Arabidopsis thaliana: one gene and its partners. The protein of the gene in region 1 interacts with the protein of each later gene in a pairwise test. Each region holds a gene or a part of one and is shown on either strand. Other genes may lie near its edges.

Region 1 (6,388 bases):
CTGTGGATTCGAAACTTTCGCGTTCAAGCAGCAAAAAGAATACTTGAGAGACCTTATTCCAACACTTGAAACTTCTTTGCGATTCTGCCGTCTGAATATATATGTTTCGAGTTTGATATCAGGAGCTTGTGGTTTGGTGTTATCGCATCTTGTTAACATGGAAGATGATTGGGAAAGATCAGAGAATACAAAACAAGTATAGGTTTGCTTCTTGTTTAAGTGTTTAGCTAAGGTAGAAATTAATCAATTCTTCTGCTATAGGAAACTGTAACTCGTTGTAACTTGTTCATTTCGCAACAAAAACTTCTCGAATTGGTTCTTATTTCCTTCCATATACGTATACAGTCGCTGCAAGTGGGTTGTCATTATAATTTCTCATAAGTTCACAGACTTGTTCAAAATAGATACTTGTTCCGAAATTCAGGAAGGATGCTGCAAGCTTCGTGTTGGGGAATTTACCTCGCTCTTGACGAATTATTAAGGTTTTAGAAAATTGGGTCTCAAACAGTCTATCAACTTAAAATGCATGTTTCAAGCAGGAACGTTCTTCAATATATGACAAATAACTATTATCATCGTGACTTTTTGACGTAGGAATTTATGTGGTTAGAAAATGAAGATAAAGCGAGCTTGACCATTTTCAAATTTTTTATGCTACACCGTTTTTACCGAACCATTTGATACAACTTACTAAGCATAAACAAAAGAGGCAGGCTTTATTAAAGTTTTCAGTTTTTTCACCATCGAACTTACTTAGAAGGTATTTACAAAGCCAATGCCTTCAAAACTACAAAGGCCTTTTTTCGTTAGGAAACAACTTAAAAGGAACTGCGCCACCATTTCTACTACGACTCAAAGTCCTCAACTCCAGAAAACATACAAACAACACTTGAGACGCAGATTGTTCATACTAAAACCATACGCGACACCAACCCGATCGTGTTTAGGCTGCCTCTGCAAACCCGACCTGTTCGTTACCAAAGTCAAATACGGTGTGGTATTTGCCCATGAACACATCTCCCAAGATCCTGTTACATTTTTACCACCGTTCTTAGGGTTAGAAAAAGAAAGCAAGAAGAAATTGTGCTACAGAGTAATAGATTCAATGGTTTACCAGAGAGGTCCACGAGGTGGAGCAACGTCAAGAGCAATAAAACCACTGATGCACTGTGCCACAGGTCCCTCACCAACTTTCAGAACATACTGCTCACATCATACCAGTACAACAGATTAGTAGATGGTCATATTCACTACATAATATGAATGTTGTCTTTAAATAGTTCACTATCATACCTCTTCTGGAGCAAGATCAAATACTTTGCCTCCAATGGTAAGTGAAACAGTGGGCATTGTTGACAGTTGTGCACAGTCAACTGCAGACTCTCCCATTGGGCTGGGGAGGCGTTCACATAGCTGTTAAGAAAACCCACAGTAGCGATTTATAATCAGTAATCAGGACAACAATAACTACTGTTTCACAAAAGTCTTGAAATGACAACTTATTGGTTACCTCGTTGACGTAGTTCAATATGCGCTCTTGAGTCATGTTTTGCCTCAACTGGCTCTGGATCCACACAACAGCCATCTCACATGCAGAACACGCAGCATCTCCAACACCATTAGACAATTTGGCGTTTTCCTTGTCCACCACCGACTCAATGCCCATACTAGATAATTTATAAACAAAATCATACTAAATATGAGCAGATCACACGGAAAAACAAACAAGCATTCCAAAATGAAGATCCTAGCTTAATGGCAATGACTACAGATTATAACTTTACCTGACACCACGGGTACCATCAAAAGTACACAGACCAATCTGCGAGCAGATTTTCTTCGGTTGGGTCTGCAAGGCGCAAGGGGGATGAATGGTAAGCCAAAATAATTTGCACAGCATATGACTTGTCACAGATTTTATTAGCTAGTCCAATATTAAGCACACTAACCTCAGACAAAAGTAAATCCAAAATGGTCTGCCCGTATTGATCCACAACAGTCTTGCACTGCTGGCTAACAACTCCAGCTGCTCCAATAGCATGGTTTATCATGGTGATTATAGTCTACACAGGGAAAAAATTGAAATATTACTACATATACTAGTTAAAAAACCATAATTCTATAAAGCTATAAGCAATTTTAATTCTTGCTTACCGTTGGACCGGCAAGCAAAGATGTACCAGAATCTGCTATCGCAGAACAGCCACTTTCACAGAACCCTGTATAACAGTAACTCAAACTTTAGAACCAGTTGTCACCAGCAAACATAAATAGCAAAACCTTTTTGAATTTGTCAGGAAAAGCTATATATATGTGTTATAAAGAACAACGCCAATCAGTGTTACACATACCAGTGGGTGCACCGCCAATAAGAACATCACCCATGTCAAACTATAACAAAATATATATAGCTTGAGTTAGATCGTCACTGGAAAACGTTATGAGAAAACCAGACAAGGAAGTGATGTATCACAAACCTGCCAGTAGCCCTTTTGTGTCACAGGAACATATGTATGTTTGCCCTTGAAATGATTTGGATCAACACCTCCAAATACAAGTTCACCACCTTCTTCTTCATCTGCATTACGGTTAAGCCAAAATGAAAAAACCGGCTCCTTGATAAGGCCTTGCTTGAGCATGTTGTACCTGTAAAAAACAAGACATATTAGCATTAACACTACAGGAATGTAGTAACTCAGTCCAAACAAGAGAAGAATGTGCAGGCATACCAAACAGGAGCAGCTTTTCCAACAGAGATCTCTTGGAATCCAAGACCAAGGATACCATCAAATTTAGCTACAACAAATGTTATACCAGGCTCCTTGGTTGCCTCGATAAACTCCTGATGAGATAGACAAATGTTAAGAAGGAGGTCATTGATGTGTATGTTGTAAGAGTACTGATTAGGGTCGGACATATAGTTTACCTGATCCTTGACAACTAAATCGCCAACTGTGACAGCATCATTACTAAAAAAACCAGCAATTGCTCCAGTGCCGTAATGAATTGCGGCAGCTTTTCCTGCATCAAAGATGAGCAAGTTAGTTATAACCTAGCAGCTGCTATCAGTAGTGATGTTGCATCTTTTAACAATGGTTTTCTGCACATTAACATGAATTCTAGAGGCTACATTGAGTGAACTGTAAAGTATCTACCAACTGGGAAATCCAACTGCAAAAAATTTCAAGTTAAGAGAGAGAACAAACCATTCTTCTCATATGTGCTTGAACGAGACGACTTGTATTTGGGATGCAAGAGACATGCAAGCTGCAAAAGAGATAGAACACAATTAGTTTTCTACTCAAAAGTATCTCAACCACAGCTAACAACAATAGTCCAAATGTTGCTTACTGAGAAATAGCATTTTGATGATGGCACCCAGAGGTTAGAGCTCCCAGTGTCAAAAACCACAGTGAACTTCTGAGGTGGAGTACCAATGGCGATCTCACCATAGTACTGAGCATCTAGATAATTCTTAAGCACAACAACATCAGCATCTCCAGAATCTCCAAGTCTGTAAGCTCTCAGGGGCTTTTCTTGCTTGGATTCGACGCGTGCTGCAAGCCGATTTTTCGAATCCAACTTGAGTTTTTTCAGTCCAACTCTGAAGGTCCCGTCATTGCGCTCAGCAAAGGCAGAGAAACACAGGAGGAATGACACAATGAGTGAAACAGCAACCGTTCTAGAGTATATCTTCATTTTACCTATTCATTGACAACAAAAACCAAAAACATAAAACAAAGAAAGTTAGAATCAAGAGACCATCACAGAGAAAAAAAGCAGAGAACCATACCCATAAAAGTCAACCAGTATGTATACATATATTTATATCAGAGAGTTCATATTGAATGATGCAACATAAAAGAAAATTTGTAAAGTGACTAAAAATAGGCTAACTCGGTCCTCCTCCTCAAACAGATAACGAAGGACAATGTTACACGCAATATATTGTACAAACTACAAATTATTAGTTTAATTGGTCTCTCTCAATCAGCCACGAAGCAATAGCGTGGAAGCAATAAATAAAGTAAAAACTCTCTTGACTTTGCAAATGACTAAAGACTTCTTTTGCTAGAGAAAGTGATATAAACCTTGAAATCGACATTTGCTTGCCGAAATCAGAAAGCAAATACCCAGATTACAACAAAACCCTAAACATCCGTTCCTATAAACCTTTTCAACATAAATGGAAAGTTTTGTTCAATAAGACAAGCAATCTAGTAAAAAAAGGAAACAATCTCAATTGCACCAAGACTCACATGCAACATAATTGATTCATAAGACACTGAAAATCGCCACAATCGCGACAATAACAAGAGCATGAAATTTATTTTCTTCTTCTCAATCAACTAAAAACGATCACAACTATAATCGATAAATCTTCAAGTAAACAGTCCGATTACGTAATCAAACAAACCTAAAACCCCAAATAAATTCATACCACCGATGAAACCAAAATTAGCCACAAACCATACACAGATCACAAAATCTAAGCGAGTCTACTAATCACATCATACAATCATCCAGATTCAAAATCGAAGAACATGAAATTCGGTAACAAAACTCTTACCTAACTGCTCAGAAAACGATTTATGAACAAATCCACGAGTATTAAGGACAATAAATTAAGCAGAGAACTAAAAGTATAAGACAATCAACGAGAAGAGAATCGATAAGTTTCATAAGAAAGAGAGCTCACCAAAGCTAAAGCACCAGATTCTCAGAGAAATGAGGATTTTTGTTGAAGAAAACGAGAAGAGAGATGGTTACATTTATTTGCGAAGAAAGAGATGACTGTGAGGAGGGATAATGCTAAATTAACCGCGCTGTCTCCTAAATGGACAATTACAGGTGGAGGCCCACTGTATAATCCCGTCAAAAAAAAAAAGGAGATTTCGTGTGGGCTAATGTTTCGTTATTAGCCGTTGGATCTCTATATTGAACGATTGGATTTAATCGTTGACGGATGGATAGGAAGGCGTAACGTATCAAGTTTTATATTTAGTGAGAAATCACGTGTTTACGAATTTAGAGTGGATTACGTGCTCCTTGGAATACTAACCGTTGGATTGAGATGACTGAAATTGAACGGTTTCGATTAAAGAGTTCACCTTACATGGATAATGATCAATGTGTTGTTTATATTGGGCCTATGAGAAGCCCAATGTGTTGTTTACATTGAGATTATCTTCCAAAGATTACTTCACAAATCACAACCCTTTAAACGAAATTCTAAATAAAAGAAAATTCAAAACTATTATATACTGAAATTACTATTTTGTATTTTATAAGGTTCTCATACATTTTATTTTTTTTGTTAAATGGTTTTTAGATAACATGTTAAAGAACAAATTTTGTTGTAAAATATCAGAAAAAAGAATAGTACGTTTGTTGACATATTGTATGTAAATATTTCAAATAATCTGAAACAAAACCACGAGTCCTCTTGGAATACTTTATACTAAAAAGAAAGGTGAAATTTTAAAAACAAACCGAAACCTAAAATAAGCAATATTAACAAGCACATGACAAGATTGATTCTTAAACTCTTTAACAAGACATTCCAAGCTTACTCAACACTTCACACCACCAAATTATAATCTCATAACTAAAAACTACCCAATAATCAAATCTAAACTCCTAATTTTTGAACAATGTCTCCACTTCACTCTTACATTATCTTCTTCTCCCTTCTCATGACCATCCTTCTTCAATCATCAACAACATCATCCCAATCAAATCTCTGCAGATCTTCTTGCGGCAACATTCCGATAAATTACCCTTTTTCCATCGACGACGGTTGTGGTAGCCCTTATTACAGACACATGCTCATTTGCTCCGACAACGATACCAAGCTCGAACTTAGAACACCATCTGGTAAATACCCTGTTAAATCTATAAGCTACTCTGATCCTCACCTTCTTGTCTCCGATCCATTCATGTGGAACTGTCAAGATCGAGACAATTTTCGACCCACTAGATCTTTTAGCATCGATTCAAGTACACACTTCACTGTCTCTCCTCAAAACGACTACTTGTTCTTCAACTGCAACACCGATAAAGTTATCGTCGAACCAAAACCGCTCTTCTGCGAAAGGTTTCCAGATAGATGTGACTCGTCCTGCGATAGTTCTAGCTATCTATGCAGACATTTGCCTGAATGTGGCTCTGCTTTGGGATCTAGGGTTTCTTGTTGTTCGTATTACCCTAAAGCGACTCAATCTCTTAGGCTCATGCTGCAGGACTGTGCGACGTATACAAGTGTGTATTGGAGGAGTACAGGTGTGGAGAATGCACCGTATGATCAGTTTCCAGAGTACGGGATAAGGGTTGATTACGAATTTCCAGTGACAATGAAGTGCCTTCTTTGCCAAGAAACGACTAAAGG
Region 2 (5,570 bases), on another chromosome or scaffold:
GCCTGTTCAAAGGCTTACCGTTAGTTCCAGTGGTCTTCATCTCCACCGTCGATTCCGCATCAACATCGACGCATATGAGTATGTCTTCGCTGGGTTCCACCGAGTCTCGAGTGGCTACAGCTCCGGTCATGGTGGCTCTGTCTTCCTCCATTCGCCGTAAAAGGCTCCGTCTTTACACTTTCTTCCTCAGTTTTAGCAAAGTGTCTTCCTTTTCCTACTTTCTATTTCTAATTGTGTCCGTACCAGATGAAAACGCTGCGTTTTTATTAGTTGACCGAAGATTCTCAAGTCAAACCAAAATACGACGTCGCTTGCTAGGAGATTTTCGTCATTATTCATTTCAGTTTTTGGAATAATAAAACTCACTTGTAAGAGAAAAAAAGTTAAATGCAAACGGTGAAATAAAACTTTAGGTTTGTATTTTGTAGTTTGTTTGAATAAATATGAAAATAAATCTTCAGTGGTTACATACTTTTTATATATTTTCATGAACTTAATTTTATTTTTACGTAAAAATGGTGATCATGAAGTTTAATGAGGATGATGATAATTATGATATAAGAATACAGGATAATAAAATGAAATAGTCAAAGATAAAGGAGTTGTATATACAATTATAACATACGTAATGATAGTCGTACATGGTTTAGGTTTTGGGCAATCATAGAGTAGCAATTGCCTAATTATCACAAAGTTGGTAAACACAATTGTTGTCTTATTTATGCATTGCTTGGCTCATCATAACAGATTTTGGCATTCGAAGAGTTGGTCCGTTGGGTTGAATGTGACTGTTATTGAGCTTCCTCTTGTTCATTTCCGCATACATCTCTTCTATCATCGGCTTCCATAGCCTAACCCGCGCATTTATAAACCAGTTTGATACCTTTAATCACACACAACAAAGAGACACACTCTATATCATTTGCCCGCTTTAACTTACTTCAGTAACAAAACATATGTGCGACTACAATCCTAGGACTTGAGTAACATTATTGTGAATTCAAGAATACATAATCTAGTCTCATTTGTAGTTCAAGAGAAAAGCTTGATTTTTTCCTAGCCCTAATCTCATCTTAAAATAACCAATACCGGTTTTTCAGACATGACTAGTATGTCAAGATATATATTACTCATTTGAATACCATATTTGCTATCATTGTGAGCAAAGATGTTATCAATAAGTCATTGCATAAGAAAACAAAGATCTTATCAATGAGTCATTGCATAAGAAAACAAAGCTTGTTATCAATGAGTCATTGCATAAGAAAACAAACATGAGACATTACCTGACTTCTTGTCAAGCCACTTCGTATAGCTAGAAGATGTTTCTCCGAATCTTTCGGGTAACTGCATTAAATAAAACATAACTTTGCTTATAAAATCGAGTTAACAATGTCATCATCATAAAGTAGATAGTTAAGAAGAGTAAGGATTGTTACGGGTGAAGGAAGTTTTGGAACATCCAATTCCGTAGAACCGAAACAGATTTCTCAGGCAAACCTCGTTGAGGTCTCCAAATCTGATGGTTCTTTCGTTTCAGCTGCTGAAGAAGGCAATGCTGGTGGAACATAGAGGTTTCTTGAGTCTTGTCTTTGCCTCTCTCCAATACAGATCCCATAGAGATTATCTTCTTGCAGATTCTCTCTCTCAGGTTCTTGTATAAGAAGGAAACGGTTTGGAGGGCAAACCGGGTGTGTAACTGTGGATCTAACTCGGTTGCAGCATGGAACGCTGATATAACCGTATGAATCTCATCTACGCAATGACTATATCGATCATCCACCTGAAGAGAAATATCAACTCATAAAACTTCATCATATATATCAAACCATTTTTTTAACTTATGCAAAAAAAGTGAATGAATATATTACATACCATTTGAAGAAGATCCAAGAGATGGGTTTTCTTTGCTTCTAATGCTCTCCTTTGAAATGTAGATCCGAAACCCGCCTCCGAGTTATTAGAATCACCATCAAGAAACTCAGTTATATTCTCAAAACGTGAAGTAAAGGCTGAACTAGCAGCTCCTGACTCGGTTCCTCGAGATGAATAATCGAGCGAGTATGCGGCGAAATGAGATAGTATTTCTTGAACAGAGTGAAGGTATTTTGAGCCAAATATAAGTTGAGAGAAACCTTGAGTAACAACGTTATTAGAAATGTCTTTGCTGCTGCAAGAAGCTTGCTCTGAGGCTAATCTTGTAGCTGCACAAAGACTTATCTCCGAGCATTCATCAGAAACATCTGATGCAAGACTCAATGAAAGCTCATTGTTTCTTTTATTCGAAATTAGAAACGGGAAATCTTCTTCACCGAATGTAGACATCATTGGTTCACTTGGACCAACTACACCTGAAAATGCCTGAAACTCACTATTTGCTTCAAAACCCCACATGTTGTTTGAGGAATCATCATAGTGTCTTAAATGATCCAAAGGATGAAGTGGAGGAGGATGAGGAGGAGGAGCCATGAACTCAACATTGCGGTTATCTTGAACATCGATAGACCGTGGAGAAGATGATAAGTATTTGTTAGTCAGCATAGAATTGAAAATATCAAAGCCACCCATTTGTAGAGGATCTGATCTGATGGTATTCCATGGAAGCATTGTTGAGAATGAAGTTGAATCTTCTCTTGAAGGTATAAAATCCATGAGAAGAGGATTTTGGTTAGTCATGACATTATCCAGAGAACTAAAAGTGTTGTTGTTGTTGTTGTTGTCCATTGGGTTTCTATGAAACTGCATTACCAAAGAAGACAAGTATTTAAGACTTAGACAAAAGATTTCAGAAAATCTAAGAAACCAAATCTTTGGAGAATAGTACTAAATGTAAAATGCTGCAAGAGACAGAGAACATCGCTCACTATGTCATTAAATATTTCATTAAAATATATAAAGAACCGAAACATGAGTTAATGAAGCCGTAACTAGGCTCAATGATACACAGACCAATAATATCTCAAAGCTATCTGTGATAAACAGTGAACTAATAAGTAAAAAAGAAAGCTTTAGATTACTACAAATGTCCATAGAACATTAAAAATGTTGAAACTTGCCTTTATCCTTCTTCTTCTGATAGAACCTTTGGGAAGATTTCAGACAACACAACGTTCCAAAGAGAATTTTTACATCAAAATTTCCAAAATGTGTGTTAAAAACTGAAGAAGAAGATAATGCTTATTTATCTTCTTTCTCCGTGAAAGAACAGTGTACTTTCATTCCGCAGCTTCTCTATGTTCCTAAAGAGAACCAAAAAGCAGAAATCAACAATAAAGTTAGTATTCATAAATTAAAGAGAACAAAATAATGCAACAAAACTGAAAAAGAGAAAAGTGGGTCTGATTAATCTCTTTTGCATGAACGCAAACACTTACAAAAAAAATTACTTACTTTTTCTTACAATAATTTCATGAAGAAATTCATAATCTTCATCATCTGCCTCACTAAAAGATTCAGAGCACTAGATCAACAAATAGCAACATTTTATAACTAAATAAACAAACCAAAAGTTGTATTATCGAGGGGAAAAATACAACTTTAATATTCAAGAAAGAAGAAGTTGAAAAGAAGGAGGGCCAAATCACGTACGGAGCTGCCTCTGTTTATGACACGAATCCATTTTCATATCTTTAAGATCTTCCGACCAAAAAAAAAGATAAATCAGAATCAAGAAAATCTTATATATAATCACTTTCTTAAAATGTCATTTATTTAAAATGTTGTTCATAGAGAAAGAGATGAATCTAGTAAAATTATCTAAAGAAAATATATGGTTGAAACAGAATCGAAATCCAAAAAAGAAATCCAAAGACATGAAGAAGACCGATGTGTTACTGTTTACTACAGAGAAGTGCACTCATTTCTGTTGCAGGCTTTAAATTAGGGAAGAGACCCTACATTTTACTATTTACATGTCTCTATATATATATATATGTATGTGTCTCTATTTATAAAATTTTATAAAGTTATAAGAAAATGGTGTTGTCTTCTTGTGCTGGTTTCAATTATCACAAATCAGAAAGAGGGAAAAAAGTAAAGAAGGGTGAGATCTTTTTTAGCCATTTAAGGAGAATTGATGAGATGTGTGATCCATTTGGGTTCTTGCTTTTTCTTCTTTCTTTTCTCACCACTCGTGTCTTTGTATTGTGCCATCAAATCTTATATCCATTTACGTATTTTTTTCATATAAGTTTTTTACGTAAGCTTTACAAAAATATCAATCAATTTGCTTGGCCTTTTCTTTGATTGTTCCTTTCTTATCATTTTTATTTATTTATTTATTTATTTTAAGTTCAATGTGTCGTTATGTGTTACGTCTTTATTATCATGGCTAATGATGATGGAATTGAACTCTATTACTCGTAGACTATATAGATTGCAACATCTGAAATTATGCTCTTCTTTATTACAACCAAAAGAAGAAGAAAATCTAATGGTACTTGATTTGATCTGTATTAGCGTGACTTGATCTGTATTTTAAATAATGTTAATGGTACTTGCCTAAACAATGACTTTCTAAGCTGGTATGAGACAAAGAAAAGGGTCAAGGACAAGTATCTTGCATGGCCACTCCAAGCAAAATTGGATATTGATTTGGTGAAACAGTTATTGTTGTTCGTATAGGACAAAATTATTTTCAATAGAAATCGATAATTATTGATATCATATCCTTATTATTGTTTGCTTACAAGTCTATATTATTTAATAGTTTGAAATTTTGATTTAGTAAAGCAGAATAGTATCAATAACACTAGGAACTATAGTACCGACTATTAACTGAAGCTGGAATGCATCTTTAATCATGCCTACGATCTTAATCAATAACACTTATTAATGTTAGACTATTAGACCCGTGCTCATAACTTTTGGGTCCTAGGCGAATTATAAAAGTTACTTTTTTTTGTTGTCTGATAGTCCAAACAAGAACTTGTAATGCTTTTTCTAAAATGAAACAAAATGTACGTTGGCTATGGAGCCTATCGACTCCAGCACCAGCAGATGCTTAATCTACTCCATAGACTAGAGCGCTTTTTATCTGAAGTCGTATAATTTCCCAAGTCATTTGGCTTAATTATTGTGTATCAACTTATACTATATGCTACTGATGTCTTGCTTAGAATATTATACAAGTTCATTGACTTAGAATTATATATAGGCAGACTAAGCAAAATGGGAATAAATGATCACAGAGGGCATTAACTAGTTCACTGAGGTTCAACAATCTACTTGATCTTAACTCCTTTCGAATTAATATAGAAGTCGAGCACTTGAGGATCAGAAAACACACATTCATTCTCAGTGTCTGAAGCACTTGAGGGTCAGAAAACACACATTCATTCTCAGAGCGGCGTATAATTTTAAGATGTCAATCGCTCTTACGTAAAGATCGATAGCCATCCACCTAAACATATGCAATACTCCTTCTGTGAACAAGAAATTTATTGATAAAACCAAGTGTGTTAGCAAGTTAATCTTTACATAGAAATCAAGGACTCACTCTTAATGACCAGCAAAGTGTGTTAGCAAGTTGAGTGACCAGCAAAATTCTAACCCTAAAAAAGTAATGTAGA
Region 3 (5,730 bases), on another chromosome or scaffold:
CTCCGATAGTCGCAACATATTTCATGTGTTTCACTAAATTTCATTATTTATTAATATCTATAGAAAGGTATTTGGGCCCAAAAAAAGTTATGGGCCGAAAATGAGTAAAATATATATTAAATATTCGCATATGTTTTTGTAAACTTTTTTCTTACAAACCTCTCCGAAATTAGTCTCACACTCTCACGCAGTCTTCATATAAATATTCTGTCAATGTCTTTAATAACAGAAAAAAAAAATTGTTACTGTTATTGTAAGTTTATCTCTCAGCAGGTGACGCTATTCTACAAAATGATTTGAACATTTTCATTTTTATATATCTTGAAAAGAAAATTTATAACAAGTTTTATAAACGTTAATCTTAATTGATTTAAAAAAAAAAACTATACACAAAGTTTGAAATCTGAATTCAATTCAACAGTTCGTAAGATCTTATTTCAGAGATTGCTTTCTTTGTTTTTTTTTATATTTGTATTGTGAATGTGTAGAATTTTATTTAATATGCTTTTAACACATAAACACTCCTCAAAAAATATTATAAGTTTCCAGCCGCTTAAGCATACATGTCATATTCGGAATCTATACAGCTTAGATCTAATCTGTAATCATCATTCCATATTTGATAGATCAGTTCACTATCTTATTAATTATTACATTGTAATAAAAGTAAAAATATATTTTGGTATACACCCAATGCAAGCTATTACACGTAACTAATCCATATACATATATAACCCTATCCATCCCCCAATAGAAACGAAAAAAAAAAATTACAAAATCGATATACAACCGTCGGCCATATATAACCAAAGACTAAAATTAAATTTTGTTCTTTGTTTTGGTTCAATGGTATGAGAAACTATATACTAATTAAAAACTAGAAACGTATATAATAACCTGTTTCGGTTTCTCCTTCTAGAGAGATGGGTTTATGCAACGAAGTCGGGCAATAACTGAGCCACATATCTCTTCTGGTTCTGTATGTTCATCCCATTGTAAGCCGCGGCAGCTGCCGCTGATGAATGTGCGGTTGTGGTCGAGCTACCACCATTGATGGTGGCGGGTCCATATTCCTCTGTTTCTCCTATTTTCACTCTTCTCCCTATAGGAATCCCATGGTGGGTCTGCATGAAACCCTGATGGTGCGTGGACGACAAGCTATCACAATGAGGTAAACCTAACGTGAGGGACACGCCATTGTTGTTTCCTGAGTACCTTTGCGCCATGAGCTCCTGGTCTGAGACTACATCAAATCTTGACATCTCATCCATTTGGTATTGCCCGAAATTACCCATGAAAGGGTAGCCACCATCTGATCTTATCCCTTGCCGTTCTTCTAGAATCTTCATCGTGAGCTTCTCGTTGGAGCTGAAATCCGCATTTATTGGCTGCATCATTGTCTCGTCGCTGGTTCTTAGTCTCTTGGGGCTTCCTTGCATTCCAGTGACGCCTTCTAGGTCACCGTTGTGATTGGGATTCATATGGTAATTAGTGTCCGCCATTGGGCTCTTTTCTTGGTTACTTGTTGACTTTGAAGCAGAATCTTCGTTGCTTTGATCCAAAGGAGTCTTTTCCATGGATCCCATGTTCTTTGCCTGCTCCTTCATTTCCTCCATGTACATCTCCTCCACCATTGGTTTCCATAACCGAACTCTCGCGTTTATAAACCAGTTCGACACCTAAATAATTAAAGAAAATAAATTTACTTAAAAACGCTTTCTTAAGTAACCTAATAACACAAGAAAGAATCATTTTGAAACGTACCTGGCTACGAGTGAGTCCTGTTTGCTTAGCTAGCATGTGCTTGTCCGAATCCTTAGGGTATCTAATTAAAAGAAAGACAACTTAGAGACTGAGTTTGTGTTCCAGTGATGAAAAGTAGTGCATGTGTGTATAGTGGGTTACTTACGGATGAAGAAAGTGTTCGAAGAGCCAAGCACGGAGAACTGAGACGGCTCGTTCTGGGAGACCACGTTGAGGTCTCCAAGCATTATTGGAAGGATGTTGAATCATTCCCAGTTGTTGAAGAGCTCTTTGCTGTCTCAAGTGGTGGTCCACGAACTTGAGCCTCGACCCCTCAAACCTCCCAACACCAGACACTGAATCTTCCTCCCCAAGACTCTTGTTGGCCGCTTTTATCTGACCAGCGATCGCCTCTTTCAAGCAACGGAACTGTCTTGATATGGTTTTCAATGCTAGCGACGTGTATGACTTCGCTGATCCTATCCCTGCCGCTTGCTCGAACGAAGAGATCACCATCTGCATCTGCTGGTGGTACTGTCTATATCTCTGCTCCACCTTTTCATTTTTCAACCAACAAAGTAACGTGAGTCTTATGAACATAAGTGTACGGTCTACATAAATATAATCTATAAAAGTTGTTAGTCTTTACTAAGAGAGGGACAAAAAAAAAAAGATTTCATCAATCTTGTAAGTTGTCAATTTGAGAAATCGGAAGAGCAAAAAAAAAAAAGGATAGCTTAATATACATATAAAATGAATTGTGAAAATGACTGAAAATCTTAGGGACAGAACTTTTAAGTCCACTTCATGTGTGATATAAGAGAGCACTCAGTATATGTAGGCTTATTGTATATAATACGTATTGTTGTTACCTCATGAAGCATGTTACTAAGTTTTGCTTTCTTCATCTGTATTTCTTGTCTCTCTGCCGTGCCTAGCTCCACCGGACGTTTCCCGGCTGCTTCTGCTCCGCCACCGGAACCTTCTCCTCCAGCGCCGGCCGATGATTCTCCGACAGGTTTATCATTTCCGCAACTACCCTTTTTCGATGAGAATAGTTGGGATTTAGCGTTCATGTCATCGGAATCAGCGTTGACTACTTCGTCAAGAAGCTCTTGTGCTGCCTTCAAGTACTTGGAGCTAACAAGATTAGCTATACCGTTTGTTACCCCCGATCCTGTAGAGCCAGACCCGACCCGGATATCTTCTCCATGTCCGGACCCGAATCCGACGTGAATAGGCTGGTGTTGTTGATGATGTTGCTGTTGCTGCTGCTGTTGAGACGAGAGGGTTAAAGAGAGGCCTTGCTGCGCGCGTGGCGTCTCACACGCGGCTTGCTGGTGAGTGGGATCCACTTGGTGGCTACCGTAGAGACTGTACTGCACGCGCGGAGGATAACCGTGAAGTACGGAGATGTTGTCGGCGGCTGTAATGGAAGCAGCTTCGTGACCTGAGAGTGGTATTCCGACGAACTGCTGGCTCGCGTTTGGCTGCGGCGCGTGGGAATCGAGGAAAACGAAACTACTGTTGTTGTTGTTTGTGTTTGTGTTTGTGTTGTTGTTGTTGCTATTGTTGCTGTTGTTGTTGTTGTTCGAGTCGTTGTCTTGTTGGGTGTACTGAACGTAAGTAGTTGGATTCATGAGGATCAACGTTTGAAGACCACCGTCGGATCCGGCAGAGATCTCCGGTGGGTTTCCGTGAAAGTAAGCAGCCATCTATGTATAATTAGTAGTTGTTACACACGAATGAAACGACGTCGTTTTCTTTGATTCTCTTTCAATTCTTGACCTTCTTTCACCAAGCTGATTGATATCATAGAAAAACAAACAAAAGTATGAAAAAGGAGCAAAAACAAAACCACTATAAGTTTAATATAGATCTGTATATATATACAGTTGAAGCGAAGAAAAAAAGAATCGTGATCACATCAAGAAGACGAAGAAGAAGGGATGAATTATGGATTATGAGAAAGAGAGATTGAAGGATATGGAAATTAAGACATAATCATGATTGAAAATAAAATAATAAAATAATAGAGTTAGAAATTGAAAGAAAAAATGAATATTATAAAAGATGAAGAACCTGGATTGATAGAGATCTGAGGATGCACGTGTTTCATGATCATCTCAAGCTGCAAAAGGAAAGTTACATTAGAGAATTTCTATCAAAGAGAAAGAGAGAGAGACAGACACACACACATACACACGAATATACACTTATATATATATATTTATATGCATACCTGTGTTTGTGGAGATGTGTGTGATTGCTATGTGAGTTTGGTCTCTGTGTCAGACTCAAAGATCTCTGCAACTCTTTTCTTGCTCAAAGGGGAAATATAAAATACATTTAAAAAGCTGAGAAATAATATATAACAAAATAAAAATGACTAATATATATTGAAAGAGAGAGAGGATAAAGAAAGGAGAGATAAAAGATACCCATCTTTTCCTTCACTCATTAATCTTCCCACAGTCCTTAGTACGCCACCATTTTTCATCACTTTCTTTCTATTTTATTTTATTTTAGTGTTGTGGTCGGTATATCTTATAACCAAAGTGGATTTTTTGTTAAATGGGACAATAACCAATGTTTAGGACATGAAATATTCACTAATGTAACTTAATTTTACATTCATATATTGATATATACTTGTATCCGCAAAACAATTTGTGTGTGTGTGTGTGTTTACGTTCACCACCAGCTAATATTACTTATCTTTTTAATTTAATATGCTAAATAGACATTCCAACCATGTTGGAATTTGTTTTCAAAATTGATATTAAACTCTACACTTAGATATAGCTTTATGTAATCATTTAAATTAGTGTACTCTAGAGCAATTGGTTCAACAGTTTTTTTAAATAGAAAAAGATTAATGAATAAATTAAGAAAAAGACATAGCATTCTTTCATACTGCATGTTCAAAAAACCTTTACTTCATGTTATTATCACTATATAGCATGGTGATAAATAAGTTACAAAGTACATATATATCATAGGGAGCTAAAATTCATAAAACTAAGTGAGAAAATGTGCATATAATTGTTTGTTGTTGAAATTCTAGTTTGACATCCAGTACAAGAGATAATATTAAATTCGAAATATTTCAACTTCATAGACATATGTATACATTATTTGGTAATATATATGTGATACGTATCTTATTATAAATTTAGAATTGGTATACTTGAAAAACAGAGGAACTTGTATGATATGACTTTGGCCTTTTCATGTATTGACCAGGTAATGAACCCACATATCATAACAACCAAACACCCTTTATTTAGTTATTTATAGACGATATAATTTCATAGATGAAGTAAATGTTATCACATCAAGACATAGTGATATGTATGTCGTGTCCAATTTAGAATCATATCATTTTCTTTTAAAACATTATATTTGTATTTATTTAATAAAAAGAAATCCCACACGCATCTCAATCCAAATCTTTCTTTATTGATATAACTACAATCCTGAACATAAAGTATTCTTCGGATTACTATTCTTGCAGACTTTTATCATCTAGCAAGTTCAGAGTGTACACTGAGGATGGCAACGAACTTTGAACTGATTATGATTTATAAGTAATAAAATTAGTAATGTTTACGTTACCAAGTTCTTTTCATTTTTTCTTTTTTCAACTGTTTTTTTCTTTAATTTCATTTCATTATTTTCCTCAGCAGATTAACTAAGATACTTTATTTACAAAGTTTTATATTACCACATACACATAAAAACTTAAAACGCATCAACACTTTATTCTAGAAAATGAATAGATTTCATTTTTGAAAGTCCTACCGTTAGTTTATATTTTTCTTCCAAACACTCAAATAGGTTAAGAGTATAATATTTTAAATATACATAATGGGATTAGAGAAATTGAAAACTTATACGGAAAAGTGAATTGTGTCAGAAGATCCAAACAGCACAAAAACGAGGAAACGTCTCCTTCTGCAGAAACCTAAAATATTTAATCACACA

The links.
Region 2: the proteins of APA1 (region 1) and ATH1 interact in a two-hybrid assay, tested with the Arabidopsis thaliana proteins (one large-scale study listed by BioGRID).
Region 3: the proteins of APA1 (region 1) and BLH1 interact in a two-hybrid assay, tested with the Arabidopsis thaliana proteins (one large-scale study listed by BioGRID).

The regions. Positions count from the first base shown.
Region 1 is NC_003070.9:4,016,176-4,022,563, forward strand, and holds APA1 (aspartic proteinase A1), read right to left. Parts: upstream 4,591-6,388; 5' UTR 3,822-4,590; coding exon 3,794-3,821; intron 3,705-3,793; coding exon 3,352-3,704; intron 3,268-3,351; coding exon 3,207-3,267; intron 3,022-3,206; coding exon 2,927-3,021; intron 2,843-2,926; coding exon 2,730-2,842; intron 2,647-2,729; coding exon 2,478-2,646; intron 2,392-2,477; coding exon 2,352-2,391; intron 2,220-2,351; coding exon 2,155-2,219; intron 2,064-2,154; coding exon 1,950-2,063; intron 1,850-1,949; coding exon 1,785-1,849; intron 1,668-1,784; coding exon 1,511-1,667; intron 1,414-1,510; coding exon 1,294-1,413; intron 1,204-1,293; coding exon 1,115-1,203; intron 1,029-1,114; coding exon 944-1,028; 3' UTR 537-943; downstream 1-536. Other genes in the region: AT1G11905 (B-cell receptor-associated protein 31-like protein), read left to right, coding at 1-47; AT1G11915 (wall-associated receptor kinase galacturonan-binding protein), read left to right, coding at 5,655-6,388. UniProt on the Arabidopsis thaliana protein: Involved in the breakdown of propeptides of storage proteins in protein-storage vacuoles. Possesses aspartic protease activity in vitro.
Region 2 is NC_003075.7:15,914,150-15,919,719, forward strand, and holds ATH1 (homeobox protein ATH1), read right to left. Parts: upstream 4,005-5,570; 5' UTR 3,391-4,004; exon of another isoform or gene 3,240-3,390; 5' UTR 3,057-3,239; intron 2,740-3,056; 5' UTR 2,725-2,739; coding exon 1,876-2,724; intron 1,784-1,875; coding exon 1,440-1,783; intron 1,348-1,439; coding exon 1,287-1,347; intron 884-1,286; coding exon 716-883; 3' UTR 521-715; downstream 1-520. Other genes in the region: AT4G32970 (BRISC/BRCA1-A complex protein), read right to left, coding at 1-151. UniProt on the Arabidopsis thaliana protein: Transcription factor which may be involved in the signal transduction pathway downstream of the COP1 gene. Controls floral competency as a specific activator of FLC expression. Is responsive of the nuclear import of SHOOT MERISTEMLESS (STM).
Region 3 is NC_003071.7:15,088,242-15,093,971, forward strand, and holds BLH1 (BEL1-like homeodomain 1), read right to left. Parts: upstream 4,175-5,730; 5' UTR 3,986-4,174; intron 3,938-3,985; exon of another isoform or gene 3,875-3,937; 5' UTR 3,826-3,874; exon of another isoform or gene 3,546-3,825; 5' UTR 3,459-3,545; coding exon 2,616-3,458; exon of another isoform or gene 2,299-2,615; coding exon 1,910-2,298; intron 1,826-1,909; coding exon 1,765-1,825; intron 1,680-1,764; coding exon 930-1,679; 3' UTR 521-929; downstream 1-520.